Linked DNA regions of Sus scrofa. The protein of the gene in region 1 interacts with the protein of each later gene in a biochemical or structural test. Links are inferred from orthologs where the notes say so. Each region holds a gene or a part of one and is shown on either strand. Other genes may lie near its edges.

Region 1 (6,057 bases):
GAGTGGCCCTAGAAATGGCAAAAAGACAAAAAAAAAAAAGTTTTTTCTTTTACCTTGAAATTAATCTTTAATATCTCATTTAGGTTTGCAATGAGAATTCTCTCTTCAAAAGTCTTTCCCGCTATCTGGTACGCAGAAAGGATCCAGAATTGTGGGGTAGTGTGCTGCTGGAAAGCAATCCTTACAGAAGACCCCTGATCGATCAGGTAAAATTGGCAAATGTGTTTAAGGCTCATCTTTTTAACTGTGAATAAATATACTAGATATATAAGTATACTAGATATATTCAAATGGATCATATTTAATTGTGCGAGATGGCAGTAAAAAAGCAGAGGAAAATAAAAGTTATAATACTAAAATATATGTATATGTATTAACAAAAATGAAATGTATCCTCTCCAAGAAAATACATTCCCAACATCATAGTTAAAAGGAAAATAGCAAATTAAACATTTAATAAAATGTGTAAGAATTGCTGTTATTAATACCTGAAAAGTGACTAAATTGATTGGAAAGACTCAAGATAAAGGAAGAGAAAATACAAATGACTAGTAGGTAGTGTTAATAAATCTCAAAAGTAAACTTAAAACTGCGAAAGAGATGTGGGCTTACAACTATGTAAAAATTGAAAACGTTTTTTAAAACCTTAAAAATGAAGGTTGTTATAATGGTTCTTTAATTGTCCCGGTAGATGTCTAAGTCTTGAAAGAGAATAAATTGAAGAATAGTAACACTTTTTTGTTCCTCTCCTAGGAAACATTTCTAAGGCAAATTCCCAAGAAGATAAATACAAAGCTTCCTAGAAAAAAATATTTATTTATTTATCTTTGCTTTTTAGGGCCGCACCTGTGGCATATGGAGGTTCCCAGGCTAGGGGTTGAATCAGAGCTGTTGCTGCTGGCCTACACTGCAGCCACAGCAACGCCAGGTCCGAGCTGCTTCTGCACCCTACACCACAGCTCACAGCAATGTTGAATCCTTAACCCACTGAGGGAGGCCAGAGGTTGAACCCAAAACCTCGTGGTTCCTAGTTGGATTCTATTCTGCTGTACTACAGTGGGAACTCCCTAGAAAAAATATTTATTACCACATCTGGGAACAATGCAGATAGACAAAAATAGAGAAGTTACTGAGTATATAATGAACGCCATATCTGTATGGTTGAATTATGTGAAACCATAAAAGTGTTAAGTGGTTATTGTGGCTAATAGTTTAATCAGGGAGAAGATAGAAATTATATAATGAGGGTGATTTTTTTCCCCCCTTTTAAAAGAGAGTGGAAGTACATATGTTATGGGTATGTATGGATTTGTATAGAAAGACCTTTAGGTGGTAAATTTAAAGGTATTTTTATTTCATTCATTTTTATCTACCTGTTTCAAGTTTTCTACTGGGAGGCCAGCTTATTCTTACTAGATAATATCATCAAAACCACCTTGACTCTCAATACTCATTCCTTATATATTCTCTGTAGGTTGTACAGACAGCCTTGTCTGAGACTCAGGACCCTGAAGAAGTGTCAGTAACTGTCAAGGCTTTTATGACTGCAGACCTTCCTAATGAACTCATTGAACTGCTGGAGAAAATTGTCCTTGATAACTCTGTCTTCAGTGAACACAGGTATGTTGTGAGAGGGGTCCATCCATTGGCTCTCTATATTCAGTCTTTAATTTTGGCTTGTCAGTTTGGAGAAGGAACAAAAAGACAAAGATTGGAGAATGTTGTTTAAATTCTCACTCTTGTAATAACCTCTTCTCACCCTACCTCCTGAGACAAAAAATTCTGTAGCTGCAGTGTTTATTCTTTATGACTAACGAGCTTTTAAAGCATTTCATTCAAATCTTTTCTCTTAAAGGAATCTGCAAAATCTTCTGATCCTCACTGCAATCAAAGCTGACCGTACCCGTGTTATGGAATATATTAACCGCCTGGATAATTACGATGCCCCAGATATTGCCAATATTGCCATCAGCAATGAGCTGTTTGAAGAAGCATTTGCCATTTTTCGGAAATTTGATGTCAATACTTCAGCAGTGCAGGTAAACCTTCATATTGCCTGAGTTGATTTCCTACAGATAATGCCTGCCTTTGGTTCACTGTATGCATTGTCCTGTGAGGATGGGCATAATTTATTACTGTGGCAGTAGATGAGCAGTAAAATCCATAACTGTGTTGTTGGACTGTAACTCTAATTAAAAATTGATTGCCTAGGTCTTGATTGAACACATTGGAAACTTAGACCGGGCTTATGAGTTTGCTGAACGCTGCAATGAACCTGCAGTCTGGAGTCAGCTTGCAAAAGCCCAGTTGCAGAAAGGAATGGTAAAAGAAGCCATTGATTCTTACATCAAAGCAGATGATCCTTCATCCTACATGGAAGTTGTTCAGGCTGCCAATACTAGTGGTAAGGTTTCACACTTTCACGTGTTTGCCACCTCAGAAAATGTACCTTAGCTAAGCATTAAGTTACATGTCTATTCTGAATTATGTAGGAGTTAGAGACCTCATGGTTGTTTGCCCTCCATCCTAGTGCAGGTAAAGGGAGGCTGTGTTTGTGAAATTAAAAGCTCCATGGGGGTAGTTCCCACTGTGGCACACTGGTTTAAGAATCCGACTGCTATGGCATAGGTTGCAGCTATGGCTCAGCCTCAGTCCTTTGCCCGGGAACTTCCATATGCTGCTAGTGCAGCCACTTAAAAAAAAAAAAACTAAATGGGAAAGTTTAATTTTCTGTTTTAAAGTCTCATAAAATTCTGATCTAGTTCTATGCTTTTAGCTTTAAGAATAAAGGGGATTCAGCTATTCATTTGGTCAGTAATAATACAGAGGTGTAATGGAAGTTACACTATTTTGATGCATTTTACTGTTTACATTTGTTATTCTCTATACCGTTCCCTTGTGAAGGGAATTAGTAGCAATTCTCATTTACTTGAGTGGAAAGATAAATGTTACTGTGTTAGTGTTTGGATTTATATATTTGTTTTTCTATACCTAGGAAACTGGGAAGAGCTGGTGAAGTACTTGCAGATGGCCCGTAAGAAGGCTCGTGAGTCCTATGTGGAGACAGAATTGATATTTGCACTGGCTAAAACAAACCGCCTCGCGGAGTTAGAAGAATTCATCAATGGGCCAAATAACGCTCATATCCAACAAGTGGGTTTCCTGTTCAGATTTTTTTTTTTCTTTTAAAGGAGTGTAAAAATAGTTGAGCAATTTTATTAGCTCAGTAGGATCAACATGTGACAACTGAAGTTTCTAAGGAAAAATACTGTTTATCAGTATTATATTGAGTTGTAACTTTGAAAAAGAGGATTAAGTTTAGGCTTACTGAAAACAGTTTGTATTTTTTTTCAGGTTGGTGACCGTTGTTATGATGAAAAAATGTATGATGCTGCTAAGTTGTTATACAATAATGTTTCCAATTTTGGACGCTTGGCATCTACTCTCGTTCATCTGGGTGAATATCAGGCAGCTGTTGATGGAGCTAGGAAAGCTAACAGTACTCGAACATGGAAAGAGGTAATCTTAACAACAGTTTGAATGAAGAATTAAGATCCTATTTAGGAATGTTCTTTAAACTGATTAATTGTATTAACCAGTCATATCTGCACTTGAGTTCACATAATTCAATTTTTTTACACTGTAGGTCTGCTTCGCGTGTGTAGATGGGAAGGAGTTCCGTCTCGCTCAGATGTGTGGGCTTCACATTGTAGTACATGCAGATGAATTGGAGGAACTTATTAACTACTATCAGGTAATGAATTTGAATCTTTCATATTAATTGAGCTTTTTAAAAATTTATAGTTGGTTTACAATATTGTGCCTGTTTCTGCTATAGAGCAAAGTGACTCAGTCATACCTGTATATATACACACACCTTCTTTTTATATTATTTTCCATCGTGGCCTATCCCAGGAGAGTGGATATACAGTAGGACCTTATTGTCTACTTATTTTAAATGTAATACTTTACTTACTGAGATCTTTTGCCACAGATAATCTCATCTTTAATTGCGTATCTCCCTTTTTTAGGATCGTGGATATTTTGAAGAACTGATAACCATGTTGGAAGCAGCACTGGGACTTGAGCGTGCTCATATGGGGATGTTTACCGAATTAGCTATTCTGTATTCTAAATTTAAGCCACAGAAAATGAGGGAGCACTTGGAGCTGTTTTGGTCCAGAGTGAATATTCCTAAGGTAACCAACCTTTAATTGTAAGGCAGCTCTATAGCTAAAACTAATACTTTAATTTAAAAAAATTTTTTTATTTAATGATTTTTATTTTTTTTTCCATTATAGCTGGTTTACAGTGCTCTGTCAGTTTTCTCCTGTACAGCAAGGTGGCCCAGTCACACTTACACATACATATATATTCCTTTTTCTCACATGAATACTTTAAGTTCTTAAAAAATTTTCTATTAACTAGAATTAGAGACCCATAGCTAAAGCAATTAAATCTTTCTTATGCAGGTGCTAAGAGCTGCAGAACAAGCTCATCTTTGGGCAGAATTGGTATTTTTGTATGACAAGTATGAAGAATATGATAATGCCATAATTACCATGATGAATCATCCGACCGATGCATGGAAAGAAGGGCAGTTCAAAGATATCATTACCAAGGTGTGTACCATTATCAGAAGATAAAGTTTTCAGAAAAAGAAAACTCATGGAAATGACTCTTATGTATGGATTTTTCCTGTCTTAGGTTGCCAATGTGGAACTATACTACAGAGCAATACAGTTCTACTTAGAATTCAAGCCGCTGTTGTTAAATGATTTGCTGATGGTGCTGTCTCCACGGTTGGATCATACTCGTGCAGTCAATTATTTCAGCAAGGTAATTATTTTTAAAACCCCAAAACTTCATAGCAAGGCACTAAGACATACTTGGGTAGCTTTTGCCCATGGGACTTTAGCAATGTGCTGCATTTCTAACAAAGTCATTATTTTAAAGGTTAAACAGCTGCCACTGGTGAAACCGTATTTGCGTTCAGTCCAAAACCACAACAACAAATCTGTGAATGAATCACTGAACAACCTCTTTATTACAGAAGAAGATTATCAGGTAAGTTGTCTTGGTTCTTGTATATATTCTCAAACTCAGGCTATCACTGAGTTGTAAAGTTAGCATGTTCTGCAGTAAAAAAGCCCATATCTCTCTTAGGATTGTATCAAGAGGTGCTTGTGTGCCTTGAATCTAAATTTAGTGAAGTTTTGGAGTTCCCCCTGTGATGCAGTGGGGAAAGAATCTGACGGCAGCAGCTGTGGTTGCTGCTGAGGCACTGGTTCAGGCCCCAGCCCGGCACAGTGGGGTTAAGGATCCAGTGTTGCTGTAGATGTGGCATAGGTTGAAGCTGTGGCTCAGACTCAATCCCTGGCATGAGAACTTCCATAAATAAATAAATTTATTCCACAAATAAATAAATTTAGTGAAGTTTTCAGAATTGATCAATCTGATGTCTCCTAAGTAACTGCCAAGTTTGCACAATTTTGCTTAGCTCTTGTCCAAGTTAATGCTTTTGAAAAATACTATGGTTACTTCATTCCCAAACATCAATCTGTAGATCGAGTTGAAATTGTCTTTAATCTTTTCAACCAGTCCATAAAACTTACATGGTATTAACTATACTTTATTAAATACACTGTTTTCCTTGCCCAATACCATATTAGTAGTTGTCTTTTAGTAAACTTCCCCTTGTGAAGGATTTTGCAAAAATAAAGTTTAAGTTTAAGCTGAATGCCTTTTCTTTGTCTTATAGTCAACATGATTTTCTTATAGAAAGACTCGGGTCCCATCCTCATCTCTGTGACTGAGCATCATGTTGAATTGTATCAGAAGTTTCCCTAGAGCCTAAAAGTCTTACCCTCCAAATTACAAATCCTCCCAGTTTCATTACCATTCAAGTTAGTCCTTGATACTGAAAACTTGGAGAAGAGTGTGCCTTTAGAAGTTTTATAGTACCTTCAAGGACTTTATTATTAAACAGTTAGATTGAAGAATGTTGTTACTTGTTCAGATTACAACTTTGTGGTTTGAGGCTTGCATCTAGGCTGT
Region 2 (6,057 bases), about 4.6 Mb from region 1:
AGACCTCCAAATTTCTAAATCTGTCCTGCAGTTCTCAGTCCTTGTCTTATCTCACCAACAGCAAGAGACAGAGACAGTTAGTCGTGGCCTCCTTTCTGCAACACAGGGCTTTCAGGCACCATTCATTTGGGGTTCTTCTCCTGCCTCACTTCTCCATCTCCTTTACCCATCCCTCCTCCTTTGCTGGCCTCTCGGTGTTAGAGGCGCCAGGGTTTAAGATTTCTCTAGCTACATTCATCCCTTCGTGGTCTTTTGGTCTCATATCTTGAAATACTACTCAGATTCCTACTGACAAGTTGCTGTCTCCAGCCCATACCCCTCCCCTAGACTCAGAGCTTCCATCTCCACGCTCCACTTCACACCTCCTCCTATGTTCCTCCCAGCCCCAGCTCCCCATGTGCTCCTCCTCCTGTTTTCTCCGCTTAGTAAAGGACCACAATTTCAGTTGCTGAGCTCAGAAACTTGGGAAAGTCACGCTTGCCCTCTACTTACCTTTTACCTGCAACATGTATCTATTATCCAGCCACTTCTCACCCCCTCCATTTCACATCCGGGTCCAAGCCATCAGATGGCTCGTGCAGTGGCCTCCCTGAGGGTTCCTCTGCCACAGCCCTCACTTCCCTCTCCATCCCCTCCCCATCACACAATCTTGTCTCAAAAAAGAAACCAGAGCAATCTTTTTTTTTTTTTTTTTTAAGGGCCACACCCACGGCATATGGAGGTTCCCAGGCTAGGGGTCTAATCAGAGCTACGGTTGCCGGCCTTTGCCACAGCCACAGTAACAACAGATCTAAGCCATGTCTGCGACCTACACCACAGCTCACAGCAACACTGGATCCTTAATCCACTGAGTAAGGCCAGGGATTGAACCCACAACCTCATGGTTCCTAGTCGGGTTCATTTGCTCTGTGCCATAAGGCGAACTCCAGAAACCAAAGCAATCTTTTAAAAGTAAAGTTCATATTATATTACTCATCTGCTCTGAACCCACCTACGATTTTCTTCCTCACTCCACTTTATTCAGTAAAAACCTGAAATGCTGATCTGACCCCTCCCATTACCTCTCCAGCCTCACCTGTTGCCTCTCTCCCTTGGCTTACACTGTTCCAACTGCCCTGGCCTCCTTGCTTCAGAGTGTATGACCTAGTGTCCCCTCAGATAATCACAGGGTCCACATCAGACTCAGAGCTTTGCTCAGTGTCCCCAGGGATGAGGCATTCTCTGACCACAACTGTCAGGACTGTTGGAGCAATATCCCACCCCAGCCTCTTCTCCTGTGGCCCAGCTTATTCCTGAGAGCACTTGCCATCTGCCACCTGTTTACATTTGTTGGTTATCTGCTCCTTGAGGGCTGGGGTTTGGCCTCTTTTATATACTGCTTTATTTATAGAGCCTGGTACATAGTAGGTCCCCAGGATATAGCTTTGAAATGAATAAGGAAAATTACAAGGAGATATTTCTTACTAAAACTTTACTCTTTATCTGTAAGTTTTGATATCTTCACCTTATGCTTTTTTGTAGCTAATGTTTTTTGTCCTCCTTGAGGCTGAGGTTTTTATATTCAGTGTGGAACAAGAGACTCTAGACTGAGCCTTACATTCCTATTTTTTTAAGTTTATATTTTATATGGGAAATGAGGTGCAAGGGGCATGAAGCCAGACAGAAAAGTAGTAAATGTTGTAAGGGGTTGTTACCTAAAAGCTAAAATAATAGTTAATAATTACTAATTCTTAGCGAGTTGAGAGTATATAGTTCTTGGAATCATACCACTTGGAAGTCTAGGAATCTAATAAAGAAAAGCTTAATATAGAATGTTTATTTAAACATTCACTCTGCTTTCTTTAGTTTCCAGAATATTCAGATTCATTATTACCACAGCCAGTTAGTCTACAGAGCATTCCAGCAACATCATCAAACCAGAGACTGCCGACCTTGCCCAGCAATCATCCATGTACGTGACACTTTATTGTTTGCATTGAATAAGGAAACTTGTGAGGATATATGGATCTGCTAGGGATTTATTGGTAATTGGAAACATACAGAGAGGAAAAATTAGAGATGCATTTGCATTTTTAAGCTCCATGAGATAAATTCAGGGCAGATATGACTGACAATAGGGGATTGTAAAAATGCTTGTTTTACACTGAATATTATATTTTGAGTGAGTGCTGAGGTAAATGAACCTTTAGTGGAAGTTTGGAAATCTTTTTGTTAGATACAGGTTTTTTGTACTTGGAAGTAGCATTAGAACAGCAGTGTGGGAGTTCCTGTTGTGGCTCAGGAGTAATGAACCTGACTAGTATCCATGAGGATGCTGGTTCGATCCCTGGCCTTGCTCAGTGGGTTAAGGATCGGGGATTGCTGTGAGTTGTGGTGTAGGTCGAGGATGTGACTCGGATCCTGTATCACTATGGCTGTGGTGTATGCTGGCAGCTACAGCTCTGATTCAACCCCTAGCCTGGGAATTTTCATATGCTGTGGGTATAGCCCTAAAAAGACAACAACAACAGCAACCAAAAGCAGTCTGCTTATGTCTGGTTGTCAGTGTTTGTTGGGATCTTTCGTTTGAAGTCTAGCTCATAAAGAGAATGTTGATTTTGTGTATCTCTTCAAAAAGCACAGTGTGTGTTTTCTGGTCATTTTGTTGCCTATAGCAATGACAAAGAATGATCTTCAGCCACCCAATTACTACGAAGTAATGGAGTTTGATCCCTTAGCGCCTGCTGTCACTACAGAGTAAGTCATTTACAAAATGATTTCTTTCTTTTTTTTTTTTTTTGGTCTTGGTTCCCTGGTAGCAAAGCTAACAGGGCTTGGTTATACATTCTTTTTAAGGTTTTGGTAGAAATCAATGACCTTATTTAAAAATGACTTGAGTTTTTGTGGAGGCTCTTACTGGTCTTGTCATTCTCCGCCTTGGGACTAAAAAATAAAAATGCTGGGGCTGCACATGAAGAAATAACCCGAACTCTCATGTGCATTAGTGCATTCCTCATAGGTACCTGGGCAGAAAGTCAGGTTCTTTACAGCTTGAGAAGAGAGCTACTCATGGACTGGTAATATAAGTACCACATTGAGGGGATAATTTAATTGTTCTTTGACTAGTGCTCTCATATAAGAGCTTGTTTTTTAATTCTCACTACCTATGACAACAATATGTTTAAAATGGATTATTACTGTAAAAATAACTTTAACTTGAAATCCTTAAACAGCATTATTTTATGATTTCATACTGGTCAACTGTATGTAAATATTTATGATAGTTCCCATCATGGCTCAGTGGTTAATGAACCTGACTGATATCCATGAGGACAAGAGTTCAATCCCTGGCCTTACTCAGTGGGTTAAAGATCCGGTACTGCTACGAGCTGTGGTGTAGGTCACAGGCTCAGCTCAGATCCAGCGTTGCTATAGCTGTAGGCCAGCAGCTACAGCTCTGATTGGACCCCTAGCCTGGGAACCTCCATATGCCATGAGTGCAGCCCTAAAAAGACAAAAAATATATATATTTATGGATGGTAGGCTCAATAGAGCTGTAATGTACTTTGATTGACTGAAGTTTATCCCCCCAAATTGTATACAATGATTAAAGCAAATTTATGGAAATCATTGTTTAGAAACCAGCAGCCTGCAGGCTATAACTTGCCTGCAGCTGTGTTTGACCTATCTGAATTTTAAATATGCATTTGCAAATTAATTCCCAAGAGTTAAAAAGTGAGATATAGTAAAAAAAAATATCTGGACCTCTGGATTCTTTGGGACATGACAGAAATGCCAGGCCTGCATTTTTACATGCTAACAATAGCCTGGGGCTTTGTAGTAGCTGCCTCTTTAAGACAGGTAGATTCTGAGGTCCACCAGGCCCCACCCGACCCCCTGCATCCCTTCATCTGATCTGCCAGGTACATGAGGCATTTGCTACACCCTCAATGTAGTGATCCATTTTGGAATGATTTATGAATAAGTCTTAATAGGCTTAGGAGTTCATTAAATATTTTTTCCTAACAGGATTGTGAAATTTCCCTAGGTCATTCTGCTTGATAAAGTGTCACTGAATATACTAGTGGTTTAAGAAATTAGAAATTGGGGAGTTCCCGCCATGGCTCAGCGGCTAACGAATCTGACTAGGAACCATGAGGTTGTGGGTTCGATCCATGGCCCCGCTCAGTGGGTTAAGGATCTGGCGTTGCCGTGATCTGTGGTGTAGGTCACAGACATGGCTCAGATCTGGCATTGCTGTGGCTGTGGCGTAGGCTGGCGGCTACAGCTCCAATTCAACGCCTATCCTGGGAATGTCCATATGCCTTGGGTGTGGCACTAAATAGACAAAAAAAAGGAAAAAAAAAAGAAATTAGAGATTGGTTAAACTAGGTATGCTATCTGTAAACTATGCTCTTATCAGTTCTGCATCCAATAGGAATATAGACTATAAGGAGATATTAGGAGATTCTTGTAATATGGAGGTGCAACAGATATTAAAAAAACAAAGAAGAAAGAATTTCTACTCCAGCAGAACACAGAGTGCAGTACTTATACATACACATGATTCATTCATTCGATAAATGCATTGAACATTGACTGTGTGCAAGAGACAATGATCAATGCCTAATTTATCATGTTGAACATCTAGTTTGGAGGCAGAACTTAAATCACCAGGCAGACATGGATTTTACAACTTGTGTTAATGGTATGGAAGATGCTGACAGTATATTACAGAAAGAACTGATTTAAATGAGGGTTAGAGAAAGCCTGGGGAAGTGACATTAAGGCTAAGACCTGCAATTTTTAGTATGGTGGCAAGTTTGGGAATCAGTGTTGCAGGCCCTGGTAACAGTTTACACAAAGACCCTATGGGGAGAGACTTTGGCACATTCAAGGAAATGGAAAAGCCAGGGACAAAGAGAGCAACAGGGAACCTGTTACCAGATGTGGAAACTGCCATTTGGGAATAAAAAGAAGAGCATGCATAACTATGATGAACATCGCTGAAGAAAGATGAGGTCTGAACACTAGATAAATCACTGGTGATTTCAGTAGAAGCATTCTGGTATATTGATAGGGACAGAGCCAAATTTCAGTGCATTAAAAAATAAGAGATGAAGGGGACATATGAGACATTTCTTAACTTCCTGCTCAGTTTTGTTGTGAATCTAAAATTGCTCTAAAAAATAAAGTCTGTTTTTAAAAAAAAAAAAAAGTCAAATTCTTAAAGTCCCACAGACTTTTTAAGGGACAAACTGTTAATATCAATAAAAAAACTTTTGAGGAGTTCCCATCGTGGCGCAGTGGTTAACAAATCTGACTGGGAGCCATGAGGTTGCGGGTTGGATCCCTGCCCTTGCTCAGTGGGTTAGGGATCTGGCGTTGCCTTAGCTGTGGTGTAGGCTGCAGACGCGGCTTGGATCCCGAGTTGCTGTGGCCCTGGCATAGGCCAGCGGCTACAGCTCCAGTTGGACCCCTAGCCTGGGAAACCTCCATATGCCGTGGGAGCGGCCCTTGAAAAGGCAAAAAGACAAAACAAAAACAAAAACAAAAACTTTTGAATGCAAAAAAAAAAAAAAAGTAAATGAAGTAGATGCTAAGTGCACAGGTTATAACTTATGCAGAAACTTAAACATGAAGTGATCATGGTAACTGGTCTGACAGGTAGAGGATTATTGAGGTGATTAAGTAGACATGGGATTGAGTGTATTATTTTATAAAACGGGAGATAACTGGGATATCTATGAATTCTGAGGGGTAGGATGTAGTAGAGAATGAGAAGCTGAAGATTCAAGAAGGGAAACACTACGCTAAATGAGTATAGTATTTGAAAAGTGAGGGGTAGAGAGATAGGATCACAGAAGTAGATCATGGTACAGATGAAAACAGACTTGAAGATCTGGTGATGGGAACCTGAGGTTTCTGACTGACAGGAGAGGGATCAGAGATTTGAGTGAAGAAGGCTTGAAACAGTCTTGTAGACAATGAGAGACAAAACTTACAAAGAAACATTAAAATGTCTGGACCATGCTGGGTTGGGGCCTTCAAATGTGTATGCCTTCAAAGTGCTGTATT

What was found.
Region 2: the proteins of CLTC (region 1) and TOM1L1 form a complex in vitro, tested with the Homo sapiens proteins (2 studies listed by BioGRID and IntAct). The link is inferred for Sus scrofa from reciprocal best matches to the Homo sapiens genes CLTC and TOM1L1.

What each region holds. Positions count from the first base shown.
Region 1 is NC_010454.4:35,903,208-35,909,264, forward strand, and holds part of CLTC (clathrin heavy chain 1), read left to right. Parts: intron 1-83; coding exon 84-206; intron 207-1,474; coding exon 1,475-1,620; intron 1,621-1,855; coding exon 1,856-2,039; intron 2,040-2,211; coding exon 2,212-2,404; intron 2,405-2,995; coding exon 2,996-3,153; intron 3,154-3,354; coding exon 3,355-3,519; intron 3,520-3,646; coding exon 3,647-3,754; intron 3,755-4,031; coding exon 4,032-4,199; intron 4,200-4,472; coding exon 4,473-4,622; intron 4,623-4,707; coding exon 4,708-4,839; intron 4,840-4,956; coding exon 4,957-5,067; intron 5,068-6,057. UniProt on the Homo sapiens protein: Clathrin is the major protein of the polyhedral coat of coated pits and vesicles. Two different adapter protein complexes link the clathrin lattice either to the plasma membrane or to the trans-Golgi network.
Region 2 is NC_010454.4:31,261,439-31,267,495, forward strand, and holds part of TOM1L1 (TOM1-like protein 1), read left to right. Parts: intron 1-1,845; coding exon 1,846-1,951; intron 1,952-2,654; coding exon 2,655-2,736; intron 2,737-6,057. UniProt on the Homo sapiens protein: Probable adapter protein involved in signaling pathways. Interacts with the SH2 and SH3 domains of various signaling proteins when it is phosphorylated. May promote FYN activation, possibly by disrupting intramolecular SH3-dependent interactions.